Danio rerio: one gene and its partner. The protein of the gene in region 2 interacts with the protein of the main gene of each other region in a pairwise test. Links are inferred from orthologs where the notes say so. Each region holds a gene or a part of one and is shown on either strand. Other genes may lie near its edges.

The links. The genes of interacting proteins can lie anywhere in the genome.
Region 1: the proteins of kxd1 (region 2) and map1lc3a interact in binary tests that used the Homo sapiens proteins (3 or more experiments, as listed by UniProt). The two-hybrid records come from large-scale screens. The link is inferred for Danio rerio from reciprocal best matches to the Homo sapiens genes KXD1 and MAP1LC3A.

Annotation. Positions count from the first base shown.
Region 1 is NC_133186.1:28,687,367-28,695,967, forward strand, and holds map1lc3a (microtubule-associated proteins 1A/1B light chain 3A), read left to right. Parts: upstream 1-188; 5' UTR 189-269; coding exon 270-309; intron 310-1,957; coding exon 1,958-2,013; intron 2,014-3,347; coding exon 3,348-3,454; intron 3,455-5,399; coding exon 5,400-5,562; 3' UTR 5,563-6,620; downstream 6,621-8,601. UniProt on the Homo sapiens protein: Ubiquitin-like modifier involved in formation of autophagosomal vacuoles (autophagosomes). While LC3s are involved in elongation of the phagophore membrane, the GABARAP/GATE-16 subfamily is essential for a later stage in autophagosome maturation.
Region 2 is NC_133200.1:21,950,125-21,958,999, forward strand, and holds the start of kxd1 (kxDL motif-containing protein 1), read left to right. Parts: upstream 1-3,072; 5' UTR 3,073-3,328; coding exon of another isoform or gene 3,329-3,423; 5' UTR 3,424-4,075; intron 4,076-4,491; coding exon of another isoform or gene 4,492-4,519; coding exon 4,520-4,644; intron 4,645-6,963; coding exon 6,964-7,010; intron 7,011-8,875.

The DNA of each region.
Region 1 (8,601 bases), on a different chromosome or scaffold from region 2:
CATTTAATAGGAAATATTAACCCATAATAGTCTAAAACCAGTTGAGGTTAAGCAAATGCTGAGTAAATGTTTAGTTTTGGTTAAACTATTCATTTAAAGAGGACTCTGTCTCTTTAAATCTGATGACGTCACGAGCTTTAGTATATTGTCTCGAGCTGTTTTGCTTACAGTGAGTCAGGAGCTCGAAAAGAAGCCGAGTCGACCGACAATTCAGCATATAATAACACGCAAACCCTTTAAACTACTTTTAACCACATTCAAGCACAGTTATGCCATCCGACAGACCCTTCAAACAACGACGGAGCTTCGGTAAGATGAGTTTTATTCGTGCCTTGTCAGCCGAAGTGTATTTGTTTATCAGGTTTGTTTTTGTCCCTAGCCTGCTAGCAACTGCGTGACACACTGTTTACATTCCTCTACAAAGCTCTAAATGCTTATGAGACGATTATAGAAATAAATATTAAAGTCTAAATGACAGTTTTTAACAAAAACCGACAGAGGTCAGTTGCTAAACAGTAAGCTAGCTTGGGCTTTTTTATAGGCCTTGTGTTTAAATTTTATCAGCTTTATTTTTTTTACAACTGTTGTGTTTGTAAATACGTATATAACCTTATATTTAACTTTTTACTTAGAAACATAGATGAATGACATATAGTTACAGATATGTAGCTAGATAAATGTGTTGTTTACCAGCTTTGTGAAAATGTGAGATCAACATTTCTTTTTTTTGACAGTAGTGTTTTTCTGTTACATTTGGTGTAAATGATGCATTTATATATTTAGAATATTTATTGTTTGACAATAACATTGAAGGAAAGGATGGACTGTACACGTGCTGTTGATATGATGCTGTAATATGAGCTCTTTCTCATAGTCCAGACTGTGGACAGGGTGTGGGGAGGGAGGAGCATAAAACCCTTGCATAATCTTCCTAAACATAACAAGTGCAACATAGATTTGCTGTTTCAAACACATCTGTAAGAGTCCGGGTCAATATGATCTGCATACAGTCTTATATTTGTCCAGCCTTTGGGATTATACAATTGACACGGATGACCCAGACATGACATCAGTAAAAATGACACACAAGTTAGGAAGCTTACCCTGATAAGCAAGCTGGATTTTTTTTAGTTTTACTTTGAAATATACTTGCAGTGGTAGCCAGAATGAAACACAAGTTACCCACATCATCACTTAAATAGATATTGATTTTCGACAAACAAAACATAAGTTAATTTTTACAATTTTATTTATTATGACATTGTTATACAGTTTCTTTTCAATGGCTTAAAGTAAAAAGACTGTTGAAAAAAATCCACTATTTCTCTTACTTTTATACTATTCAGGAGCCATTTGCACCCTCTGACAGGTAAAATCTGCTTCTTTCACTCCAAGTTCAAAGCAAACTCGAATGCCAAAGCATTTTAGAAATGTATAGAAAATAGCCTATGTAATATATTAACATAAATTAATAAAATAATCAGCAGATGAGAAATAAATGATAGAAAAGGAATAAAAACAGACAATGTCTCTAAAAATGCAAATCTTGTAAATTTTAATTACAAGATTAAAACGTGTAGTTTATTTAAATAATGCAAATGCGTTGATTAACCATTGTTGAGCTTTCAGAGTGATAACAAAAGATATTAAACCTTTTAACAGAAATTAATGTTTGTTTGTCTGTTATACTGTACATTATGGTGGAATAGGTTTGTAGAGTAGGGCATGTCAAACAACACATCCGCAATTATTTTTCCTCAAGTTTTTAGGAATGTTTATTGAGCGTTTCTGCTAAACAGGTTTGACATAAGCAAATTCAGCAAATGCTAATGCAGTGATTACAGTGTTTTCAGGAATGAGTCTTGAAAATATACTTACTGTGTATTTTGAATTTGGACTGTAAAATGTATATTATTCAGAAGTGTACCAAATTTCTGTTTGTTTTTTGTCTTTTCAGCTGATCGTTGCAAGGAAGTGCAGCAGATACGAGAGCAGCATCCTAATAAAATTCCGGTGAGAAACTAGTTTTGTTTTATGCAAGTGTCATAAATGAATTTAGACTTATTGCTTTAGCCTTATTGCTTTCAAGATGTCACTTACCTGTCAGCTCCGGATTTCTTTTAAGATCCTGAAATTTATTACTCTAAAACAATGGGCTTCAACTTCTATGAGGGCCTTGGGGTGACTTAGAATTATTGAAAAAGAAAAGATGAAGCTAAAGCAGTTAGAAATACTGCATTTATTTAACAAAGCATCAATCATTTTAAAGTGTGATTTCTAGACCTTGGAAATATAAAAATAAGTAATATTAAAATACATTGTTCTATGTATCCACAGCTCTAAACCATTATATGAATATATCAAAATATATTAGGAAATAATCTTAATTTTTTATTGTAATCTTTATCTTTAGTGAAATATATTAGGAAATATATTTCAAAGACAAGACATTCCATTCTGTCATCTGCATCAAATTCAGTATAAGTGATTTTTATATACAGTTCTCTCCCCAGTTTGAAAATTTTTGGAGGCGAAATTTTTTTCCCCATTTCTCGGTGCATATGGATAATATATATTGGTGCATTTGATCAAAACCGATAATTAAACAGATATTTTTATTAAAAATAATATTTCAGTCACAGAACATATTTAGAAATGAAAAGATAATATATTTAAATTAATGCAAAATATTGCAAAAAAAAATTACAAACTACAACATTTCAACAAAATTGTATATATTTTTTGTAAAAGTTCCTAAGGCTCCTATGGCTTCAGTACTGAATAAACTAATGTATATGCACAAATAAAATATTGTACAGTATCCTATAGAAAATATTAATTGAAATCAGACATTTGTGGGGGGTGTACTCGTATATGCTGAGCACTGTACATAAAAAGCATAGTAACTTTCTACTTTAATGTTCTACTTTAACATTTTGACATTATATGCTAAATGATTAGAAAATATTGATCTATAATCATTTAGCATATAATGTAAAAATGCAATGGCAGCAGCTGGCTTTATTGTAATAAAATGTATAAAAGAATAGGTGATCATACTAAAACTGCACTAAAATGATTAAAAAGAACATTTTAATGTCATGATCAAATTATTCTTGTTTAAATATGCCTGAAGATTTTTCAAATATAAACTATTGCACTGACTAGTATTTTAGATTGTGTCTGATAGTCACTATTGTATAATCTGATAAAACCTATTCTAATGTATGAACATTTGAAATCTATATTACAGTGTTGTATATTTGGTTTGTATAAATATATTTCAAAGGATATGTTGTCTAAAAAAAATGCTACTAGACCCATTTCAACACTTTTTCTTCTTCCAGGTGATCATTGAGAGGTATAAGGGGGAAAAGCAACTTCCAGTCTTGGACAAGACCAAGTTCCTTGTCCCTGACCATGTTAACATGAGTGAGCTGGTAAAGATTATCAGGTAAACATCCATAAATTCAGTGCCTAATTTTGACTTTGGAAAATTTAAATGCACAAAAAAACAGGACGTTGAGACTTATTGATATCAGCTGAAAGTCATGAAGAAATGGAGATAAACAGAAATATTTTTGTGCAAGTCACTGTAAGCAGTAAATAGCATTTACTTTAGCTGTATCCAGTTTGTTTACTTGTCTGATGGGGGAGGAGAATGCTATGCGGTTCCAGTTAAAAGTGTCTTCTGACCCCGTCATCAACAGGAGACTTTAGCAAAACTCTTTTCAACTGCTTGAACTTGAAAACTGTTTGCGCAACATCCACATTCTTTGTGGCGGGCTATTTTCCTATTTCTTTTGTGATGCTTGAATGTGAAAGCAAGTTATCTTTCCTCTTGTAAGATCAGTGTTGCCTTCCAGGTATTTGAACACAGACTCGGTCAGATGATCAGACTAGAGACACATGCTGCCGATCATACTTCATAATCCTTGCCTATGAGTCATGGCTGCCATATTATTTATAGATCAGGCTTGAAATCATGATTAAATTTTGAGTTCAAAGGTGAAGTTTCTGACACTTCACTGTAAAAATTAGGATTCTAACAAAATGCTAAGGTAATTTTCTTATGTGTAGTTTAACATGGAATTTTGAAGTTATCTTACTGCATATGTTTCAGTGAAATTATCTAATTTGATGCTCTCAAAAAACAGAAATGAGTTTAAAAAAAAAAAAACCTTGTCCATCATTATATTTTTAGGCCAGGTTTTCTTGTATTAATGCAAGCAGCATACATTTAGGCAAAAAGCTGTATTTGTATTGAAGTGTATTATTATTACCCCATTTCCATTCATAAATCTATTTTACACGTGGTGCAAAAAATAATTCCTCTTAGGACCTTCAAGGCCCAAATTACCCCACTGAAACCCATTAAAATGGCAGTATTTCATTCCAGTGCCATTTAAGTGCTTTTGTTAACAGGTTTCCATTTTGTTGGCAAGGTTTCTGAATTATAAAGTATTAGTAATAAAGTCTTATTATCTGACTGGAATGAAAAAAGTAAAAACTAAGGTCAGTGTAATTAGCCACCTAAAGAAATATATATTTTTTTAATTGGCTACAGAACAAACCAATGTTTGCATAATTAACCAAATTTACCAAGTTAAGCCTTTAAATTGTACTTTAAGCTGAATACTACTACCTTGCAAAATATCTACTAAAATATTATGTACTGTCATCATGGCAGAGACAAAAGAAATTAGTTATTAGAGATTACTTTTAAAACAGTTGTGTTTACAATGTGTTGAAGTTTATTGTGCAGACCTACTTTTATTTATTCATTTTCTCTTCGGCTTAGTCCCTTTATTAATCTTGGGTCACCACAGCGGAATGAACCGCCAGCCCTACTGGAATGTATGTAAAATAATATATTTACACTGTACAAAATGCAGGGTTCAACAAAAATTGCTTCATGTTGTCCCAACACAATTCGATTGTTAACTTGATTGTTGTTACACATTTAAGTGGATTGTATATAAAACAATTAGGTTGTCAAAAAAACCAAAGAATTGTGTTGAGTCTGCTTATCTCAAATAAGTGGTTTAAACAAGCAGTAAAAATATTTTTTAGTGTAGTTTTTTCAACAATAGTGGCAATATATAAACAATCTTAAAAAGGGTGCTAATGTAGTTTTATCATGGCTTTATTGGCTAATATTGTAGATCTCATCATGGCTGATATTGGTGAAAATTTTTTTTTTACATTTTTTAAAATATGATACTTTTATGATGGTATTTGGAAATATTTTTGCGCCCTGTGGACTTTTGTAACTTTTAACATTGACATGCAAGTGCTTAAGAAACTAAAGAGCAACTGTGGATTAAGCGGAACAGCCTTGCATTTGCCTTGAATGTGCATGTTTTAGTCATTATAATCAACTCTGAAATCTCTCGCAGGCGTCGACTGCAGCTCAACCCCACCCAGGCCTTTTTCCTTCTTGTCAATCAGCACAGCATGGTCAGCGTGTCCACCCCCATTTCTGAGATCTACGAACAAGAGCGTGACGAAGACGGCTTCCTCTACATGGTTTACGCCTCCCAGGAGACCTTCGGCTGCTAAACAGGCCGACTCGACCTTCGACAGGAACAGACGTCACCCAAATGCACCCGATTATTTAGCTCTGTCCCCATCATCACTACTCTGGTAGGAAATACATAAAAACCGTTGCGTTTTCTCCATTTGACACTATAGTGCAAAGTAAAGCACTAGTATAAACACTACACTGATATTTCACCCCATTTTAAACCTCCTACTTTTCCTTTAAAAGCTAAGCGTAGGTTTTGTATTTGGCTCCGTGACTTTTTTTCCCTTTGTATTTTTATTATCTTTAGGCGAATATGTCAAATAATAAGTAACACATGTTGATGTAAATAGGTAAGAGTGTGTGTGTTTTTTATTATTTAGGATTGATTTGTTTTTTCTGTTTGTTTGCTTGTAGTAAATAATAGCCTGTTACCAGACCGCAGTGGTGCTGGTGTAAGATTGTGAAAATCTTACAGAAGAATTAAGTGCTTATTAATCAAAACGCAGCATCATTTTCATTAAATCAACTATTAGACCCGTTTTTTTGGGTCCCAAGATAAAACTGAAAGGAGAACAATAATTGAACTGATCCGAAGAATTTCTGGGTGTAAAAAAAACCTCATTGATCACTCACTGTAAAATAAAGATACTGCCTGACGGTAACTGTACTGTATATGTGTGAGCCGGAAGAGCAGCAAAGATCTTTTGGCATACAGTATTCTGCAGTCACATCATTTTTAGAATAAACTGCTTTATTTGCACAATTTAAAAAAAACATCTAAGAGGACAAACTGTTCAACAAGTATAGCACATAATTATATTCTCTTTTATTCTTGATTTTTTTCCTCCTGTGTCACCATACGAGCTGTATGCCTTCTGTTAAATCTCAGATGAAGGGATCGTGATGCACTACTTCGCATGTTGGGTTTCTCAACCTTTTTTATATTGATTTATGCTATAGATTTGTTAATTATTTCAGCTTTATTTAAAGAGACTTTTTAGGTGTTTTCAAACCAAAAAAAAAAAAAAACTGAAATATGTCAATGGATGTTTGAAAAACAAGTGTGTGTATAAATCATTGTACAAAAAAAAAAGTGTTCTGTTGTTTTTTTTCTAAATGCATAAGCACTGATGATACACTGTTCAGTAGACCTGGTATGAACAACAAATCTAGTCTCAAAAATGAAAACTTCTTGAAGAACGTTTGACAAACACTTTGAATTGTAACACATACAGTATGTTTTATGCAAATCATGTGAAAAAAAAAGTGTTAAAGACAAATAAACATTTTACACTAAGAACAGTAACTATTAATATCACAACATATCTTTGCGTCTGTAATTCACAGATCGTTATAATTAATATCATACAATTATTTAATCATCTAAATGGCAATGAACAAATATGCAAGTATTTTTACTTTTGCTTTACAGCATTTTTGAAATAACTTTGTAGTTGTAATAATAACTAATATTGTTATAAATAAATAACTTTATTTTTGTCCTGTTATGAGAGAATAGGGCAGAATTCTATCATGCATACTATAGTATTCTGCACAGTGAAAACGCTACATTATTTCAAAATGGTGCTGACACTGGATAGTTTATTTCATGTCTTATGTGTATTGTTTTTAAATACATTGATGAAAATTTTGATGACCATTTTATAATATTTTGAATGCACCTTGATAATATTACCATGATCAAATTAGAACAATTTTTTAAATTACACAAAAAATGCTGGATTATTTCAACTCAATTTTGGATAAAATATGGGCAAAATGAACCACTGTGTTATTATAGGACCAAATAAAACCCAAAGTAAAGGTTTGTCCGTATTTTCCCAGTTTTGGTTAAAATAACCTAGCGTTCTTGTGTATTCGTTCATTTTCATTTTGCTTAGTACCTTTATTCGGCAGGGGTCACCACAGCGGAATGAACTGCCAACTTATCCAGCATATGTTTAACACAGTGCATGCCCTTGCAGCTGCAACCCAGTACTGGGAAACATCCATACATACTCATTCACACACATACACTACCGACAATTTAGTCTGTTCAGTTCACCTACAGCACATGTCTTTGGAAAGTGGGAGGAAACTGGAGCACCCCTAGGTAACTCGTGCCAACGAGGGAAGAACATGCAAAGTACACACAGATATGCCAACTGACCCAGCCGGGACTCGAACCAGAGACCTTCTTGCTGTGAGGCTATAGTGCTAACCACTGTGTCGCCTTTTTTAGAGTGTGTGTATATTTCATCATATTAACTCTCGAGTAAACAGGGTTAGACAATACATCCAGATTGAACCAATAGAAGACAAACTCAATAAAACAGTGAATAAACAGTCTGTGTGATATGGAGGAAGCTTTATTTTGTCAAGTTATTTTCACACCCATAACTGTAAAGTAATGGACAGTTTATAGATGTTTTTCCCTTGAACAAGTCTTGATTGTTATTATAAGCTTAACATAGTCTATACCTGAGTGGTTTTCAACCAGGTGTTCCTGTATGTTATGAACAGCACCGTATTTTAAGATAATACTGACCAACAATGTGTGATTCCGCAAAACAGAAACAAAAAAACAAACATAGGAAATGTAGCTTTAAGGCGAGACACTGCAGGCAAAACTCTGATTTGTTTTCTTAAACCTTACAATTTTAAGATTGTGGACTTTTTGGCTTTTGATAGTGTTTTTTTTCAGTCTAATGTAATGAAAACATCCAATGTATACAGATAGTCAGAATTATTAGCCCCCCTTGGATTTTATTATTTTTTTAAAAATATTTCCCAAAGCAAGAAAATTTTCACAACATGTCTAATCTAATTTTTCTTCTGGAGAAAGTGTTATTTGCCTTATTTCAGCTAGAATGAAAGCTGTTTTTAGTTTTTTAAATAACCATTTCAGGTCAATATTATTAGTCCTTTAAAGCTTTTTTTTTTTTTTTAATATAATCTATAGAACAAACCATCATTATACAATAACTTGCCTAATTACTCTAACCTGCCTAGTTAACCTAATTAACCCAAATAAAACCTTATAAGATAAATTAAATCAGTTATTAGAAATGAAT
Region 2 (8,875 bases):
CTCTCAGAATATTTTTACATTCTAAAATAACACATTTATATATTATTATGGTTGTGTTCATTAAGAAATTTAAATCCCCGTGAAATTAAAACTTATCAAATGATTTTATCAGCTCACATTGCTAGTTTTGCGGTGAACAATTCATCTGTGCATGTCATTAAGAAAAAAAAATCGTAATTTGTCATTTTTATCCCGTTTCTCTAGGAACTACGTCACATTACAAAAAAAAGCTTAAATCGTAGCTTCTGGTTCATGGGGACTACATTTTTTTAAACTGATTTTTAAAAAAGGTTGTCACTCACTCACTTTCCTTGTTTCTTTATTTGCCACAGCGGAATGAACCACCAATTACTCTGGCATATGTTTTACTCTTGCTGCCGCAACCCAGCCCTGAGAGTGTAACTCATGCAGTGCCCTGAGAATGTTACTTTAAAAAAACTAATTTAAATTTGAATAAATACTAAAAATAGAATTAAAATAGCAAGATACGCTTGAGATTTAGTTTTTTGATTTTTGTTAAAATTGTTTTGCATAAAATGTAATTTCTACTCTACTAGATGTCAACGGGTGTATTGAGATCATAATGCTGAAAATCTGTGTATACACAAATACAAAAATGTCAAATAATCTTGTTTAAGAATTAATTTTCTTTTCGACCTAGTCCCCTCATCAATCCGGGGTCGCCACAGCGGAATGAACCGCCAACTTATCCAGCACGTTTTTACACAGCGGATGCCCTTTCAGCCGCAACCCATCTCTGGGAAACATCCACACACACTCATTCACACACACTCATACACTATGGACAATTTAGCCTACCGAATTCACCTGTACCGCACGTCTTTGGATTGTGGTGGAAACCGGAGCACCCGGAGGAAACCCACGCGAACGCAGGGGGAACATGCAAACTCCACACAGAAACGGCAACTGACCCAGCCGAGGCTCGAATCAGCGACTTTCTTGCTGTGAGGCGTCAGCACTACCTACTGCACCTCTGCATCGCTGAATCTTGTTTAAGAATTTATAACGTCCAAAATATCAAATAACAATAATTAACCTAAATCTATATGAATTTATCTATATAATATTTTAAAACACACACACAAAGACACACACATATAATTCACTCTGAAATAAATCTTGCTGTCTAACTTTTCAGTTAAATCAAATTAACTAGCTGTAGTCGTCATCTCAACTCACACCAGTTAAAAACTGGCTAAAAATAAAAGGTTAAATTGTGTATGCAGTTAAAGTCAGAATTATTAGCCCCCCTTTGATTTTTTTTTTCTTTTTAAATATTTCCCAAATGATGTTTAACAGAACAAGGCCATTTTTTCAGTATGTCTGATAATATTTTTTCTTCTGGAGAAAGTCTTATTTGCTTTATTTCTGCTAGATTAAAAGTAGTTATTAATTTTTTACAAACCATTTTAAGGTCAAAATGATTAGCCCTTTTAAACTTTGTATTTTTGATAGTCTACAGAACAAACCATCATTATACAATAACTTGCCTAATTATCCTAACCTACTTAACATTATTAACATAGTTAAGCCTTTAAATGTCACTGTAAGCTGCATAGAAGTGTATTAAAAAATATCTAGTGAAATATTATTTACTGTCATCATGGCAAAGATAAAATAAATCAGTTATTAGAAATGAGTTATTAAAATTATTATGTTTAGAAATGTGTTGAACAAATCTTCTCTCTGTTAAACAGAAATTGAGGGGAAAAAATAAACAGGGGGGTCTAATAAATCAAGGGGGCTAATAATTCTGACTTCAACTGTACATTATGTATAATGGTAGTGTTCAGTGACAAGATCCATTTAGAAATAATTCTGTAATGCCAAACATTATACACTTCAGAAATCAATGCCATACAGCTTTATTAACTTATTTAAATAAGTTAAAGTAACAAAATATTGTTGACTTTTGTCATATCATTTTTACATTGTGTATAATAAACTGAAATCGAATAATATAATAAGCAATCTTCAAACAATATATACTATTAATACAAATAAGTTAATTATGCAAATGTATATTTTTACATAATTAAAATGTATTAAAATCAATTAATAAAAAAGTATTTCTTAAAAATGTAATAATACAGTTTACATATAACGCCATTTATATTAATAGGTTTAGAAAATGCTTAAATAAACTGAATAAATTACTTCCACTATTCATAATAACATTTATATTTATAAATAGAAACTAATATTTACCGAAATATAAAATACAGGCCTAATATATATATATATATATATATATATATATATATATATATATATATATATATATATATATATATATATATATATATATATATATATATATATTCATAATATCCATCTCATGTGGTGCATATAGTACTGAAGTCATTTTGGGATACTGTATTCTTATTTTATATTGTATGTTAAAACAAATTAAAACAATATTTTAAAGCCCTTTTTATTTATTTATTTTTTTATTGCAATTTTAGAACACAGAACATACAAAGGGAATAAAAACATTATGTTTACATAAAAATAAATACAACATAAAACAAAAATAAAAAAATACAATTATTCAAAGACAGCATTTAAGGCTTTAAGATAATAATAGTATAATAATAACAGTTCTTTTTGTTTGGTATTTTTTGTTTCTTTTATTGTCCTTGTCCTATTTCTATTTTTAAGTGAGTAAAATTAGGTTTTTCCACTGCACATGTACATTTATGAATAAAAATATTTCCATATATAATTAGCAAATTACAAAACACCACATTATAAAGTAGACAGTATTCTCATATAAAGAATAAATAATCTTTTTCTTTGAATTGAAAAGCAATATTCATAACGTTTACCAAAAAAAAAAAAAAGATAACACCAAAACAACTGTGTATAAATACAACCATAACATAAATGAGCAATACTCTCTTCTTTATCATCACAGAAAGCGCATTATAAATCTACATTTCATTTTAAAGCCCTTTTAAACCCCTCTTTCTGTCTTTCTGAACATCCAATCAACGCTAAGAAAACCTTCTAGATGCCGCCTCCCAAATGCGTCACGATCTCTCAGCGATCATATGACAACACCACAACAAAAATGTCTGCCTGCATCTCAGTCCAGTAAATGTTTGATCGTTTTAGGAATACAATAAAAGTCTGCATACATGCAAAACCTCCTGCATCAGACTGCGACGCTTTAGAAACAAACAAAGTCAGACGAAAACTAGTCAGAAAGCGAATATTTTAGCACGTAAGCGATTACACTCGTCTGTATCGGTTTATTATTAGCATAACTCAATAAATCTCGTGCTTTGCTCTCGAAAAAGTTCAAATGGAGCCCACAGCTTCGGGAATATTCTGTAACAGGATGCTCAGTATGGTGAACTCTGAGGATGTGAACGCCATCATTCAAGCCCAGAGACATATGTGAGTATCCCTGTCTAGTGAAATTGAGGTAAAATTCGGATTATATTCACACATCCAGACTTTCTCCTTAACAGTATAACTTCAGAAAAGTGTCGTTTTCAAATTCTTAACAGTGGAATCATATTAGCAGCCAATGACTATCAAAATGCAACATTGTTCACAGTCAAATAAATAGTGCTAATGTTGTTTTCAAGTCACACCAAAGTCCCTGTAAGGCATATTGTATTCTATGTATTCTATAGTCTTTGTGATTTCATATAATTCATTTTCTTGTCGGCTTAGTCCCTTTATTAATCCGGGGTCACCATAGCGGAATGAACCGCCAACTTATCCAGCAAGTTTTTACGCAGCGGATGCCCTTCCAGCCACAACCCATCTTTGGGAAACATCCACACACACATTTACACACTCGTACACTACGGACAATTTAGCCTACCCTATTCACCTGTACCGCATGTCTTTGGACTGTGGGGGAAACCGGAGCATCCGGAGGAAACCCACACGAAGGCAGGGAGAACATACAAACTCCACACAGAAATGCCAACTGAGCCGAGGTTCGAACCAGCGACCCAGAGACCTTCTTGCTGTGAGGCAACAGCACTACCTATTGCACCACTGCCTCGCCCTGATTTCGATTATTCAAATTACCACGGTAAACATAAGGAAATTGAGGTAAAGTTGGTTTTATATTTGAACATTCTTTCAGTGATCACTTGTGATATGGTCCCTATATTGTTTACCATGGTACTGGTAAAACATTGGGTCTGAAATCCTGTGTAAGAATGACTTCAAAACAACATAACCACTATTTATTTGACTATAAACAACCTAGTCTGATGCTCATTGACTGCTAATATGTTTCCACTATTTAGTATTCGCAAAGAGTAAGTTTCTGAAATTATATTATTAAAGAGAAAGTCTGAATGTGTGAATATAAAACCAACTTCACCTCAAAATATAGGAAGAATGTCACAAGTTGAATTTAAAACCAACTTTAACGTACCTAAATTCTAGTAAAGTACCTAAAAAGGAAGCTGTTTAAAACCTGTTTTGATGCATGTCCTACAGGCTGGACCGCTTTGAGAAAACCAATGAGATGCTGATCAACTTCAACGGCTTGTCCAATGTGCGCTTACAGCAGATGAATGAACACTTTCTGATGCACACCAGGACTTTGATAGAGATGAAGAAAGACTTGGACAGCATCTTCAGAAGAATAAGGTGTTATGTTTGCAAATTAAGATTGAATTGAGTGATGTTTAGCAATGAGTGTGTTACCATATTTTACTATTTTGTCATTTAAAATGCCATTAAAGTAACTTTTCACAAATTAAACTCAACAAATTAGTTGAGTAATATTACATTGTAAGTCAGTACATTATTTAAGTGTAAATAGAAAATGTACTCTAGTTTTCACCTGTGTATAGGGGAGAGCGGGGCACAAAGTAACACTTTTTGGTTTTGGCCAAATAATGAACAAAGTAATGGAGTTAGACAAACCATCTGAATTCATACGGTCAAGGAAAACCTGGAAAAGTCGTAGTATTTTGACATGCCTTTTTCAAGGCTTGGGAAAGTTTGGGAAAAAGAGAAAAACCCACAAAGTTTTGGAAAAATCATGGAAAACAGAAATCTTTATACTTGAATATAGGTTATTTACTGCTTTTCTGTCCTTTGCCAGTCACATTCTCACAATATTAGTGTGATGTAAGCATTATCTGAATCAATTTTACATAGATGTAAATATAAATTAAAACTTAATAGGTTGTTGCTTGTTTTACGATATGCTGTAATCAATTTGAACCTGCATTGTTTTTCTTTTACCATGCATATGTAGACATTGCATGAAACATTAAGGTCATAAAAATTTACTTAAAAGTTTTGGAAAAATCATGCAAAAGTCATGGAATTTTAGTAGTAAAAATGTGTCTGAACCCTGAACCATTTATTTTTACCAACAACACACAAGCCTCTCCTACCAATGAGCAATGGTTGTATGATTTTCAGACCTATGGTTTCTGTGTATTATTGCCAAAAGTGCAGGGAGTAAAAATGTTACTATTTACCCCACATGTGGGGCAAGTTGTAACAGACAGAGGGTTAGTTGTAACACATGCTTATAAAGTCAGCTCTCACACAATTTATTTAAAATCAGTTTATTTAAATAGTAGCTATATTTCCTCAGTACATTGCTCAGTTTATTTTTATTCAACATAGCACAATATGTTTATTTATTTATCTGTTGGATAAAGACATTTGGATTTATTTCATTATTGTACATTATTATACAATGCACTTATTTGCAGTATTAGCTATAAAATAAATTTTTTTCTATTAAAAAATATTTTCTTTTATAAAACATTTTGTATAAAAAGTTCTGAACATTACACTCAAAAAAAAAAAAATATATATATATTATCAGTCACAGTTTTTTTTTTTACATCTTTCAAAATGGTTCCATCTTTCAGCCTAGAAGAAGGTAATCACAGCAATATAAGATTTTACTTGCATACTTACACAGATTTTTTTTTTAAATAAAAAATACCAACTAAAAAAAAAAAAAAAAAACTTTTATGCTGCAAAAACGGTTTCTCCTGTATTTCTCATTAAAATTTCCCTGAAAGTTTTCAATAATTGGCAGGAAGACATTTGCCGACCGACACTGTGGTGAAAACTTCGGAAGCATGGCATGGTTAACCCTGCGCAAATACCTTGTTTTCTATTTTACTCCACGTTACTTTGTGCTCTGCCCTCCCCTATTAACCATTTAACTGCCTGCTCATCCAAATGGTTGACCATATATTTACTGATTTTAAACAATGACTGTTAAAGTCATTCAAGAAATGACTGTTTTAAATAATGGTTCACACTACTACACTTGATTTTGGTTTGATTGCAAAAAAACAAACAAGAAAACATGTTAAATGAGAATCTAAAATATTTTATGGTATACTTAAAAAAAAATAGTATTCAAATTTTTCAGAAATCATTCAGAAATGTTTTATTTTGAATCTATTTTTAAATAATCAGTCTTACACTTCATATTTTCCGATTTTTCAAAGTATATTTATTAGTTCTGGTACTTTTACCATTAACCAACATATCTACCATTTGGTAGATGCTGATACTTTAGAAATGATGGGATGTGTTTTGCATTGAGTGCATTACTAGTGACATTAGGAGTTAAGAAATGCAATCCAAAACATTTTTCTTAGTGGGGCAGTTAAAGTGTTAAATAAACAAGTAATAAGTGATCATACTAAATTGTATTCATATTTTAAGATTTTTTTAAAAGAGTATTACTGACAAATTGGTAGCTAACAGAAGGCAAAGTGTAAAGATTTAAAATGACAATTAATTAGTATTTTTTGCTCCACTGTGAGCCCTAAACAGAGTCTTTTAATATGGCATGACTTAATTATTGTTCTAAATGTGCATGAAAAGATTACATTTTTGTAAAATATGGTAAAATGTATAGACATACTTTTTTGCTCAGAAAAAAAGGCTGCATAACGTCTAATATATTTTGTGTTTCCTCAGGACGTTAAAAGGCAAGGTTGCAAAGCAATATCCAGAGGCCTTTAGCAGTAAGTATTTATGTGTTATTTTTTTGATTGGGATGATGCAGTATTATTAACACTGATAAATCTTAACATTCAACTATTTACTGTATTTCTTGCATTACTAGTGTGTGGTCAGGTAGAACGATGGCTCAGTGGTTAGCACTGTCGCTTTACAGCAAGAAGGTCTCTGGTTCAAGTCCAGGCTGGGCAAGTTGGCATGTCTGTGTGGAGTTTGCATGTTCTCGCCATGTTGGCAGGGGTTTCCTCCACTGTCTAGTTTATTCCACAATCCAAAGACCTGGTAGAGGTGAATTAGATGAACCAATTTTGGAAGTTTCACATTCATTTTCGTCATAGACATTTATTAAGAACCCTATATAAGCAATGAACCAAAATAAAAGAAATACCTGAATATCAAAAGTTACTTAAAGGGATAGGTCACCTCCCCAAAAAATGTCATAATTTCTTCACCCTTCACTGGATAAAAACCTATATGAGTTTATTAATTTTTTTCTGTTGAATAAACAAAATAAGATATTTGAAGAATGTTGGGGTCCCAGCAAAATATCTTTTTTTTTTTATTCAACAGAAAAAGGAAACTCTTAAAGGTTAAAAACCATGCGAGGGGAAATATCCATTTAATTGCTTTAATAAGAATAAAAACTACAACCCGATGAAGCATTGCAATTGATGAAATCAAATTGAAAAAAAAAACTCTTGATTTAAAGCTGTTGCTGGCTTCTATAGAAACAACATATTGTCAATTTTGCACATTTATACAAATATTTATTCTGAGAGTGTTATTCCTGGTGCTTTATAGAAGTAAATAAAGCACAGCATCATGGGTAATGTAGTTTTTCTGCAGTTTTGCTGTTAATCATGATTTTTTTTATTAGTTATTGTGTAAAACCTTTAAGTGCTGTCAGAAATTTAAATGGAAAATGAACATTATTCTTAGCCTACTTTGTTTATGTGAAGTTATTTCACTTTGAAAACCATAAAAAGAACTTATTCTTTGTCATAAAAGTGAAATTACTAAACCTACACAGGACCCTGATGAAAATGCTGAAAATGAAAATTTCAGAGGTTATTTAAGGTTTTTGCAAACTTTTCATATCTGAGAACTAATGATTTAAAATTGGAAAAAAAATGTTTATGCTGTCTAAAAATGAATATGAACATGCCTGAAAACATGGTACCTTTTTAACTTTCTGCAAAAACAAATGCTCTAAATCACAACAATTTATTTTAAATTCAAAAGAGATGTCATCATTATATTTATTATATTTTATTTGTCCTCAAACCCATAACTATAAATTATAAAACATAGAAACGTTTAAATTGGAATTAATTTAATGTTATTCTCTTTTTTTCTTCAGTTTGCTGATTTTGTGATTCACAAGTGTTTTCCATTTATTTACAGTTGTGAATTCCATTATGGGGCCTTGATCTGTGCACTGTCGAATTTTGATGTTGAAAATTCAATTCTACAGTTTAACAAAGTGACTTTTATTGACATTTTAGTATTTGAAATAATATAACATATAAGACATATCCCAAAGCATTCCTAGGCCAGCCAAGAGACAGTGGCTGCGTCCAAAACCGCCTACTACTCAGTAGGTACTGCATTTAACTTTAAACGTACTACTCAGCCGTTAGAAAAGTATGTTCTCTACCGTATGAATGTGAAAAATATAACTGGAATTTGGACGTACTACATCCACCATTTTGTCATGGTCACGTGACCTACCTGCATCAATTGCGTCGCTTCACTTCCATTCATAAATTCTCTTGCAGTGCATCATGGGATAGCGCAGCATGCATGGGATGCGCACTTCAGAATCTTGCCAGAAGTAGTAAGTCATCCAGGTACTTCTCGCATACTGATT